Linked DNA regions of Arabidopsis thaliana. The protein of the gene in region 2 interacts with the protein of the main gene of each other region in a pairwise test. Each region holds a gene or a part of one and is shown on either strand. Other genes may lie near its edges. The genes, in order: TAP46 and PPX1.

The links.
Region 1: the proteins of PPX1 (region 2) and TAP46 interact in a two-hybrid assay, tested with the Arabidopsis thaliana proteins (one study listed by BioGRID).

What each region holds. Positions count from the first base shown.
Region 1 is NC_003076.8:21,484,690-21,489,845, reverse strand, and holds TAP46 (2A phosphatase associated protein of 46 kD), read left to right. Parts: upstream 1-1,803; 5' UTR 1,804-1,976; coding exon 1,977-2,072; intron 2,073-2,215; coding exon 2,216-2,338; intron 2,339-2,629; coding exon 2,630-2,716; intron 2,717-2,835; coding exon 2,836-2,940; intron 2,941-3,046; coding exon 3,047-3,208; intron 3,209-3,291; coding exon 3,292-3,327; intron 3,328-3,411; coding exon 3,412-3,483; intron 3,484-3,575; coding exon 3,576-3,856; intron 3,857-3,936; coding exon 3,937-4,192; 3' UTR 4,193-4,529; downstream 4,530-5,156. Other genes in the region: AT5G53010 (calcium-transporting ATPase), read left to right, coding at 94-139, 334-462, 541-642, 732-808, 896-947; AT5G52990 (SNARE-like superfamily protein), read right to left, coding at 4,840-5,156. UniProt on the Arabidopsis thaliana protein: Involved in the positive regulation of the TOR signaling pathway. Acts as a negative regulator of PP2A catalytic activity. Plays a positive role in the ABA-regulated inhibition of germination, probably throught its interaction with ABI5.
Region 2 is NC_003075.7:13,469,530-13,474,773, reverse strand, and holds PPX1 (protein phosphatase X 1), read left to right. Parts: upstream 1-2,287; 5' UTR 2,288-2,619; coding exon 2,620-2,760; intron 2,761-3,069; coding exon 3,070-3,222; intron 3,223-3,332; coding exon 3,333-3,395; intron 3,396-3,473; coding exon 3,474-3,559; intron 3,560-3,647; coding exon 3,648-3,723; intron 3,724-3,806; coding exon 3,807-4,075; intron 4,076-4,165; coding exon 4,166-4,244; intron 4,245-4,326; coding exon 4,327-4,377; 3' UTR 4,378-4,744; downstream 4,745-5,244. Other genes in the region: ATS1 (peroxygenase 1), read left to right, coding at 1-84, 174-259, 384-478, 569-694, 821-983; AT4G26730 (S-adenosyl-L-methionine-dependent methyltransferases superfamily protein), read right to left, coding at 1,465-2,019, 2,124-2,195; AT4G26710 (ATPase, V0 complex, subunit E), read right to left, coding at 5,106-5,172.

The DNA.
Region 1 (5,156 bases), on a different chromosome or scaffold from region 2:
GTTTTGCAATTCTTGTTAAAACACACTATCTGTTCTAGGTGAATATACACAAACTGATAGTACATATGCATGTGTACATTTTTTGTTTTTCAGAGATCCTCTTATAACCAAGACGATGTGGTCCAAGATGATAATTCAGGTATGTAGGGTAAAATCCTCGATTGATCATGTGTGGACGTTAATGTCAGATTAAGTATTTCACACCTTCATAGTTTCCAAGGAGCAAATACAATTCCTTGGTGATATTAAACTAATTAATTATTTAGATTAGAGACAAACACACTGGTTTGGAGACCTCTAATAATGCTTGTGTCATGAAATACCTTCCTCCAGGTATTTTACCTAGTGCTCTCGCTGGTACTCATAAATTCTGAGAAGCTACTGAAGCTGAAGCATGGTCAGACGGGCAATGCCGAAAAAATGATGAACACATTGATATTCAATTCCTTTGTCTTCTACCTGGTAATATCTGATTTTTTCCCACTCTTCTAATTAGAGTTCATATGTTGATCATCTCTCTATCTTTCTAAAATAACGCAGGTTTTTAATGAGTTTGAAATCCAAAGTGTAGACCAAACCTTCAAAGAAGTCCTTAGAGAGAATATGTTTCTCGTTACAATAACCTCAACTATCATATCTCAGGTAAGTCCTCTTTACAAGTGAACACAACATTTGTCTTTTCTTATATATCCCTAAACCATATATACTCTCTTTCTGTTCTTTCATATCAGATAATCGTGATCAAGTTCGCAGGCATTTTCATTGACTTGAAAAAATGGGTGACGACAAGTCTTTTGGGGTTACTCAGGTTCTGCTCATAAACATCCTCAACTACTTTCTTTAATTTTTTACTCTTCACATTTTTTCTCAATACGTAAATTTAACCTTTTTTCAGCCAAGTCGCCACTCGCTACCCTTACCCAGCCATCCAATATCATCGTAACTGAGATTTCTCTTGCCGTATGGCTCAATTCTCGTAAGAAGTAAGAACCATTCACTCCCAAAGTCTCCTAATGAATCGCATATGACTATCTTATTTTAGATCTGGCAAGTAGTTTCTCTCAACTTGCAGTTCTCATCTCAGGTCAACTTTTGAAGCATCCCTCTAGCTTTGGTCGCTTAGGAGGCTGTTGTTCTCTGCGCGGGTGTGCGTGAGAGATTAAATAATGCGGATTATTGTGCTGTGTATATAGCATACTACAGTTTATTCAGTCAATTCATTTTCCTCTTGAAGATATGTCGAGTGAAATGCGTGAAAGTCAAACATTTAAGTTCTGTATCCATTTCCCTTTCAAGCTATGTAGACTGTAATGGGTGACAGTCATATATAGTATATATAGTAAGCTCTGTTCAATCAATGCACCTCTTCGTTTTCGATTCATGAATTGTTTGTTGGATGTTCCTAAATCTTTGGATCCAGCTGATTCACCGCGATTGAGGTGGCTTTAGTTATCGGTATCCACCATTCCTTACTGCTATAGGTCGATCGAATCAATAACACTACGACAATTCGGGCTGCTTAGACAGCGGGTGCGATACTAGTTTATTCATACTCCTACTCGTACAAAAATCAAGAAAATTTCATCTCCATTCAAATTAAGAAAAAAAACAGTAAACATTCATATACCATAGCCACAATCACATTCGTGGCGGTTTTACACTACACCCGCCGCACCTGATCTTTGACTTGATATTTTTATACAACTGAGTCGGTTTTTGACTTTTGAGGTTGTGGACAGATCTAACGGCTAATAGAATTCGAGTTATCTACTTCACCTGACGCGGCAAAATCTCAACCGTCCCTTATAAAGCTCTTCGCGGTTAACATTTTCTCTCCTCTGTCTGTGTGTACTCGTGGTAAATTAGTCAGATTTCGATTTGGAACCCTAAAAAAATTCAAAAGACGATCCTCTTCTCGAAGAAACTCGATTCTTGTGGATTCGATTTCATTAAGGAATTTTGAATTGTTGCCTGTGATGGGTGGTTTGGCTATGGAGGAAATGCCTTTATCGGTGCTATTCGAGCAAGCTAGGAAAATTCATCTTGCTGCTTCAGAGTCTGGTGTTGATCAGGTGGAAGCTTCTACCTCTTTTTTATATACAGATTCGATTAGGGTGTTTATCTGAAATGGGTATTTCGAATCCGAATCGCGAGTTTTTACTGAATTGGACATTTCCGGGGATGCTTAGTTCATTCTTTTCCTTTGGTTTGTTAGGATGTTGTGAAGAAAGGATGTGAGATGTTTCAGAAGTGCGAAGATATGATCGGGAAGCTGGCGCTGTTTTCGTCTAACGAGACTAAAGAAGATATTAGCACCAACAATCTCAAATATCTTTTGGTATGCAATTGAGTCTCTGTTGTTTGGATTTTTGTAATTTGTTTGTATTCTAGTTTTGTTATTAGTTTTGGTGTGGAAAGATCTGAAAGTGAAAAACTTTAGCTTGTCCTGATGCTTCTAGTTTTAGCTACTGACTGAAATTCAAAATGGAGTCTGAGATTTTGGATTGTAACGTTTTCCATTGAACTTACTCTGTGTGGAGACCATAAGATTGTGTTGAGATCATAAGATTGTGTTGCGAGTTGACATTTCTATAAAGTGACGAGGGATTATATTGTCTTGTGATTATAGGTGCCTTATTATCTTGCGGAGTTGACAGAGAAAATCATACAGGAGGACCGGATTCAGATTGTCAAAGCCTCGTATGCTAAGTTGAAGGTTAGTTTTCTGCTGAGTGTTTACATGTTTTTGTATCCCTTTGATGCTATTGCAAGTGGGAATGAGCATTTGGTTGGATTTTTTTTGAGATTGATGTATAGTTTTGTTATTGTGTCTAGGAGTTCTTTTCGTTCTGTGAGGCAATGGAGCTTGTTCCGGATGAGGAGTTGGAGGCTTCTTCACGAGGAGGTTCTGGTGCACCTGCTGATCGAAGGGCTCTCAAGGTAGATTCAGCCCTGTTTCTTTTGTTTATGTTCTGACGAGAATGAAGTTTAAAGTTTTCGGATTTTGAAATGCGTGTTGTGTCTTCATGATTATGGTACTTTGTAGATAGCTCGGTTCAAACGTCAAAAGGCTGCAGAGGCAAAGCTTCTTGAAATTAAAGAGAGGAAGGAGCGACGTGGACGTTCCACTAAAGCATCAGCTTTGTCGACTCCGGTTGAATCTGGAGAAGATGATATTCCAGATGATGACAGCGAAGAAGAGAGAGAGGTTTGTCCCACTTTTTGTTTTGCTGCTTTCTCTAATTCGATTTTTTCTTCTAAGCTTTCTTGTCTTATTGCTTTCCTCTGCAGGCCTGGCTCTCCTCAATTAACTTGGCTATTTGTAAGGTTTGTCTAAAAATCATTTCATTAGAACCCTATGATTTGTCACAAGTTGAGGAGGCATTATCTTATGATTGAACTTCGTTACAGGCTATTGATCTGTTGGAAATGCTAAAGAGAGAAGAGGAAATGCTCTCTGCAATAAAGGAAAGACAGTTGAAGGTAGCTTACCGTGGTGTTAGTTTTTTTAGGTGCGAACAAAACTATTTGATAAACATATAAAAGAAGAAAACGTGTTATGATATTTTGATCAGGATGGAGAGGGTGGATTTTCTCGGGATGCTCTTGATGATCGTACAAAGAAAGCTGAAACCTGGCACAGAGACGCTGCTGCAAGGATACAGTACTCTAAACCGGCACAACCAATCACTTGTGCCACATTTGCACAAGATGTGTTAGAAGGAAGAGCTTCGGTATCACAAGGTCACGAACACAAGAACCAACCTCTTATATTCGGTCCAGCAAGCATCGTGGGTGGACCGCTCTCTACCGAGAGAGAAAGAATGATAGCTCAGGTCTTCCAACCAAGTCACAGGTAGACACAAAATATTGCTCATTACAAAATCTTAATCCTTTTTGAGATTTAAAAATGGTGATTAAACTTGGGTTTTGTAGGATGCCAACAATGTGCATAGAGGATGCTGGGTTAACAGAGATGAACATAATGAATGATTGGCAAGAGCAGACGAAAAAAGCCATTGAAGAAGCAACCACCTCATGGTACAATGATAAACCTCTAAGAAGAAAAGAAGAAGACGAGGAAGATGATGATGAAGACGAAGAAGCTGTGATGAAAGCTAGAGCTTTCGATGATTGGAAGGATGATAATCCTCGCGGTGCAGGTAACAAGAAACTCACACCTTGTGGCTGAGACTAGAGACCGAGACACACATTATTTAACACTTTCTCCCTCTCTTTTGTTTCTTATTTCCAAAACCTCTTCGTTCACTTATTATAATGTCTGTAATGTAATCATCTTTCTACTCTTAAGCCTTAGACTTACAGATTTTGGATTCACGGATTCACTTTCATTTTCGTTGGGAATATTATTTTTAAATACGCCGACTACTAAAGATACAATGTATATATCTAGTAAAATACTAACGTGTGACTGGATCTGAGACCATCTTTTGTTGTCCTCTATTATTGTGTAACCCACGTTCAATCACAGCACCATTTATGGAATCAAACAACAAAAGAGAAGCGAGAAAAAAAAAAGAGATAATAACAACACACATTTTGCTTGTGAATGATTTAACTTCCAAAGTACAATTAACAACATCATTAACATGTAAACCAGGATTCAATCTATACCCTAGTTTTCCTCCTGGAAACAACACTTTTTGCGACTTTAAAAATCAAAGAAGATGAAAAAAGTTGACAAGAACAGAGAGATAACAAAAGGGATCAGATTTGATCCAAAAAAACGGATACCCAGAAAAAAGATGTCAAATGATCAAATTTTGATGCAGATTCAAAGAATATGAATTTGGAGATGTACACAGATGATGATAACTTTTACCCTTGAATGCATTGAAACCCTTCACAAATCCAAAGCCAAATTCCAAACAAAACAGCACAGATGCAGAAATCAAACATCAACACAACCCAAACATGTTTCTTCCAAATCTGTTTCGCCTTTTGTCTATGATGATGATCACTCAACAAACCATTTCTCAGTTCCTTGCGTAAGACTCCATTATTACCATTCCCACATAAATCAACATTCTTCTCTGATATCTCCTGAATCGAACCAACCTCACAAGAATCTCCCCCTTTTGCTTCATTATGCAATCTCTTCTTCTTCTTCAACGCCTTCAATGGTTTCCCCAAAA
Region 2 (5,244 bases):
ACGGACTTAGTGTTCTTCAACAGCATGTCTCCTTCTTCGATATCGATGATAATGGCATCATTTACCCTTGGGAGACCTACTCTGGTATGTCTATATAGTATATATAGATATTTCAACTTCAAATTTTTCGTTAGTATTATATGTACAAAAAGTTGATCCCAACCGGTGATTAGGACTGCGAATGCTTGGTTTCAATATCATTGGGTCGCTTATAATAGCCGCTGTTATCAACCTGACCCTTAGCTATGCCACTCTTCCGGTAACACCTCTCCTCCTCTGCTGACATATATCGCAAAACTTTGATTGATTCTACTCTAGACTCGGAAATTATCATATCCAAATCCGTTGTCCATTTTGTTAGTGTTCTACTTGATTATATGCAGGGGTGGTTACCTTCACCTTTCTTCCCTATATACATACACAACATACACAAGTCAAAGCATGGAAGTGATTCAAAAACATATGACAATGAAGGAAGGTGAGTGACCATATTATCTTGAAAAAAACGGTTGACTGATAGAAAATATGATGACTGATGCATATGGTATAACTTCCGTATGCTTTTCAGGTTTATGCCGGTGAATCTTGAGTTGATATTTAGCAAATATGCGAAAACCTTGCCAGACAAGTTGAGTCTTGGAGAACTATGGGAGATGACAGAAGGAAACCGTGACGCTTGGGACATTTTTGGATGGTACAATCACAGCATTAGCCTTCCTTTTTCTTACCCTTTCATTAGTTTATTGAATGCATGTGTTAAACTAAAGTATTAGTCAATGTTGTTGTAGTTATAATGTTTGGATCTACATGTATGTATTAGGATCGCAGGCAAAATAGAGTGGGGACTGTTGTACTTGCTAGCAAGGGATGAAGAAGGGTTTTTGTCAAAAGAAGCTATTAGGCGGTGTTTCGATGGAAGCTTGTTCGAGTACTGTGCCAAAATCTACGCTGGTATCAGTGAAGACAAGACAGCATACTACTAAAAGTATCCTTTATGTTAAGTAATTGATCGAGCCATTTTAAGCTAATAATCGATCAATGTGAAGCTTGTGCCTATACGGTAAATGAAGGTTCGGGTAGTAGTATGGACTTTTGGTCTAAGAGATCTATGTTTGTTTTTGTTTTTCCAGTTCTGTATGGTTATACTATAAGTTGCAGCTCTAAAGAAAAGCTTCTGTATGTTTTGTTGCCTTGGTCTCTCTTTGTACCAACCCCTTTTTCTGTTATTTCCAATTTTACACTGTTAGTTATTATTGCTAAATTTATTACTGACTTACTCTATAGTAGTGTAACGAAATATATGGTCACATTAACTCAAAGTTAACTCCACTCCATGAACATTGAAGCAGTCTGAGAATCCAGAAAGGACCTATGAATCAACGCAATCAAAAGAAAAGAAGAAAAGATTAAAACACCTTCATGAAGGAGAGTCTTAAAAGAAAAGAAGAAAAGATTAAAACACCTTCATGAAAGAGAGTCTTGAACTTTGAATAGTATACTAGTCCTTTTAGAGTCTTGAAGTTTGAATAGTATACTAGTTCTTTTGACTCTTTCTAAGGTTACATTAGCAACATCAACGATCTTGGAATTATGAAAAAACCTAGCAATGTCTCTAACATCATCTCCACTACATTCATCAACCGCAACCACACAAAACCCACCGCGTCGCACCGTCCTCTCCATCTCCTCCACGAACCGCCACGGAAACAGAGCTTCAGCTAGATGTGCAGTAAAGACAAAATCAAAGACACGGTCGAAAAACGGAAGGTTATGAGGATCAGCTCTTTTCACAAGAGGAATCGAATCAACCAATTCAACTGCGGTAACGTCGGATAATCCGATCTGAGAAAGAGCCATCGGAGCATGGCCTGCTCCGTCGGAAAGACAGAGAGCTTTGGTGTGATTTTGAATGAATCCGAGATCGCGAAATCGGAGGAAGTAGGTAGAGAAGGAGGATAGACGCGATTTCCAAGCTCCAGAGAACCAGATTCGAGCGTTCTTCTTTGGGAGAGGAAGATGCTGACGAGGCGATGAATCGCATGTAGATCTCAGAAAATGCGTATGAGGTTTCGATGGAGCTTCTGGTGAAATACAAGTTTTGGCGTCTGGAGAATCATAATCACCATTAACACTGTTCCGATGCTTAAGAACACGACTGAAACTCTGTTCAGCATCTTCTCAACGTTTCTCTCCATCGTCGCCGATCAAAACTCCGATCGAAATGCCGTTATCTTCTCTTCTCGCCGTGGAGAAATTACGAAAATGGCCGCTTTGATATATGTGGGCCGGGCCTTATAAAGTTATATTCTGGGCCCATTATGTGAACTTAACACATTCTGGACGAATATGTAATTTCAGAAAAGAAGTGAGGCGATTTTGAAAATAATCTAAACCATAAGGAGGGAAAGAAAAACCTTGGGGGGAAAAAACATTCCTGCGGAGAGGAGCTAATTCTCTCTCCTTGGGAAGAAGACGACGAGCTTAATACATTCGACAGTGGAGAATATCAGATTCTTTTTGGCGAGGGTTGGTTGATTCCTTCTTATTCATCAGATTAAGGATCGTTTCCGGTGGCTGAAGAGTAATAGAAGGAGGAAGAAGAGGAGAGGAGAGGTAAAAATGTCAGACCTAGATCGGCAAATAGGGCAGCTTAAGCGATGCGAACCATTGAGCGAATCGGAGGTGAAGGCTCTTTGCCTCAAAGCCATGGAAATTCTTGTTGAAGAGAGTAATGTTCAGAGAGTTGATGCCCCTGTCACTGTAAGTTCTTACTTTACCTTACTTCTCGATCTGGGTTTCGGAATTATGAGCTTATTAATCAATAAATCTGAAGAAAATAGGCGCGGAGATTTTGTGTCTTTATAATTTGGATTCGTAATGTTGTATCAAATGGTATATCATTCCTAGGATCCAGTGAAAGACTTGTTTTTGTTTCTTGCTATTGTTACAAGTCAAAAGATTTCACGGGCAGTGAAGTTACAGGGTTAAGAAGTGAGAGTAGATACCATTGATGTTTCTTATGATTTGCAAGAATTGCTAATACTTGTCTTTCTTTTTCCATTGGGATAGTTATGTGGTGACATCCATGGGCAGTTCTATGATATGATGGAGCTTTTCAAAGTTGGGGGTGATTGTCCTAAGACCAACTATTTGTTTATGGGAGATTTTGTTGATCGTGGATATTATTCGGTTGAGACATTTCTACTTCTACTCGCACTCAAGGTAACTCTCTGGACTGTGTTTTACTTTGTTGTGGTTTCCTTGTTTTGCACAATCTCTTCTGCTAAATTGGTTCTTGGAATCGCTTAAGTAGATTGCTTTGATATTCTTAGGTTAGATATCCAGACCGCATAACTCTCATCAGAGGAAACCATGAAAGCAGGCAAATCACACAGGTGAATGCAGTCTCATTTGAAAATTTTGCTTTTGTGTATGTATATATTCAGACTATTCATAAAGTCTGCTTTTAGTAGGTTTATGGATTTTATGATGAGTGTTTGCGTAAATATGGCTCTTCAAATGTCTGGAGATACTGCACCGACATTTTTGACTACATGAGGTATTCAAAGCAGCATTCACTTTCTTTATATTCAGTTTTTGACTTGTCTTTGGAATATTCCGACTCTTTAATCTGTCTTTTCTTATAGTCTTTCAGCTGTTGTGGAGAACAAGATATTCTGTGTTCATGGTGGTCTTTCTCCAGCTATTATGACTCTTGATCAGGTTGATATAAGAGCTCTCTCTACTGATAATTACAAGTTTCCAACTAGAATTAGTTAACTGACGGAACCATACCTTTATGGCAGATTAGGACAATTGACCGGAAGCAAGAAGTACCACATGATGGTGCCATGTGTGATCTCCTATGGTCTGATCCTGAAGATATTGTTGATGGCTGGGGATTGAGCCCTCGTGGTGCCGGATTCCTTTTTGGTGGCAGTGTTGTCACGTCTTTTAACCACTCAAACAACATAGACTACATAGCCCGTGCCCATCAACTAGTTATGGAGGGTTACAAATGGATGTTTGATAGCCAGATTGTGACAGTGTGGTCAGCCCCAAATTACTGTTACAGGTAAATAAGATTCTCAGAGCCGTCTGTTTCAGTCTATCTATCCTCATTTCTTGTAGCTTGATTTTTACTCCTATTTCACTTATGCTCCAGATGCGGTAATGTGGCTTCAATTCTAGAGCTTGACGAGAATCTAAATAAAGAATTCCGTGTGTTTGATGCAGCCCAGCAGGTATGACCCTTTTAGTAATATGTTACTTCCCGTTCTGATCTCGTTGAGCAGATAAGTAGACTGACATATTTTCTATATGCAGGACTCGAGAGGGCCTCCCGCCAAAAAGCCGGCCCCTGATTACTTCCTATAATGGGCAAAACTTCGAAAACCTTATTCCCAAAGTCGAACTAGCGTCAATATTCAACTCCGTTGAAGAGGAAGAGAATTACTATTCGTTCAGTGTTTAGGTTGCAGTGCAGAAGAATATACAATAGAGTTGTTTCAGGCGAGCTCTACCTAGGCCACAAAGACTGATCGAACTGGGGTTGTCTAAAAAAGATATTGTTGTTGTTGTTTCCGGTTTTGGTGTAACTGTAGTCAAAAGAGTGTTTGTGTATTGGTAGTTAAAGAGTGATTTTGTCCTGATTCAAGTTTGTACTTTCTTAGGAGATAAGACCTCAAACAGTTTTGGAGCTCACAGTTATATCAATAGAATTCACAGGGAAGCATTAGGACAATTTGACAGCCATGTCAGATCGAACTGGTTCTGATAGAAACTTGCCATGAACAAAAAGAAAATCCTAAAATTCCTTCCTTGGTAGGAGATGAAGATGGGAAATGGCGAATATTCTGCCAAATGTTTTTATTTCATCAACAATACACTCACTCTCTGGTAGAGTCTTTGAGTATATGAAAACTGTTCAAGAATTGAATGAGAGACAGAATATGTTTGAGTAAAGAGGGGGATAGTTTCGTTGTTCCACACCACGATAAGAATTACAAAGGGGAAAACAAATATGTTTGAAGAAGATACAGAAAGAGCAGCGGGGCTCTTACTCAAATTTGTGCATTGGTTTCCTAGTTTGAGTAGAATGGTTTCTACTCCACCTCGCTTAAGATAGGGACAATGAGAGGGTTCATCTGCGCAATGTATACAATTGCCCACCTGCCAATGCGAAGAAACAAAAACGATGTAATGATATGTAAGACAATGAATGAATTGCATATAAGGAAAGGA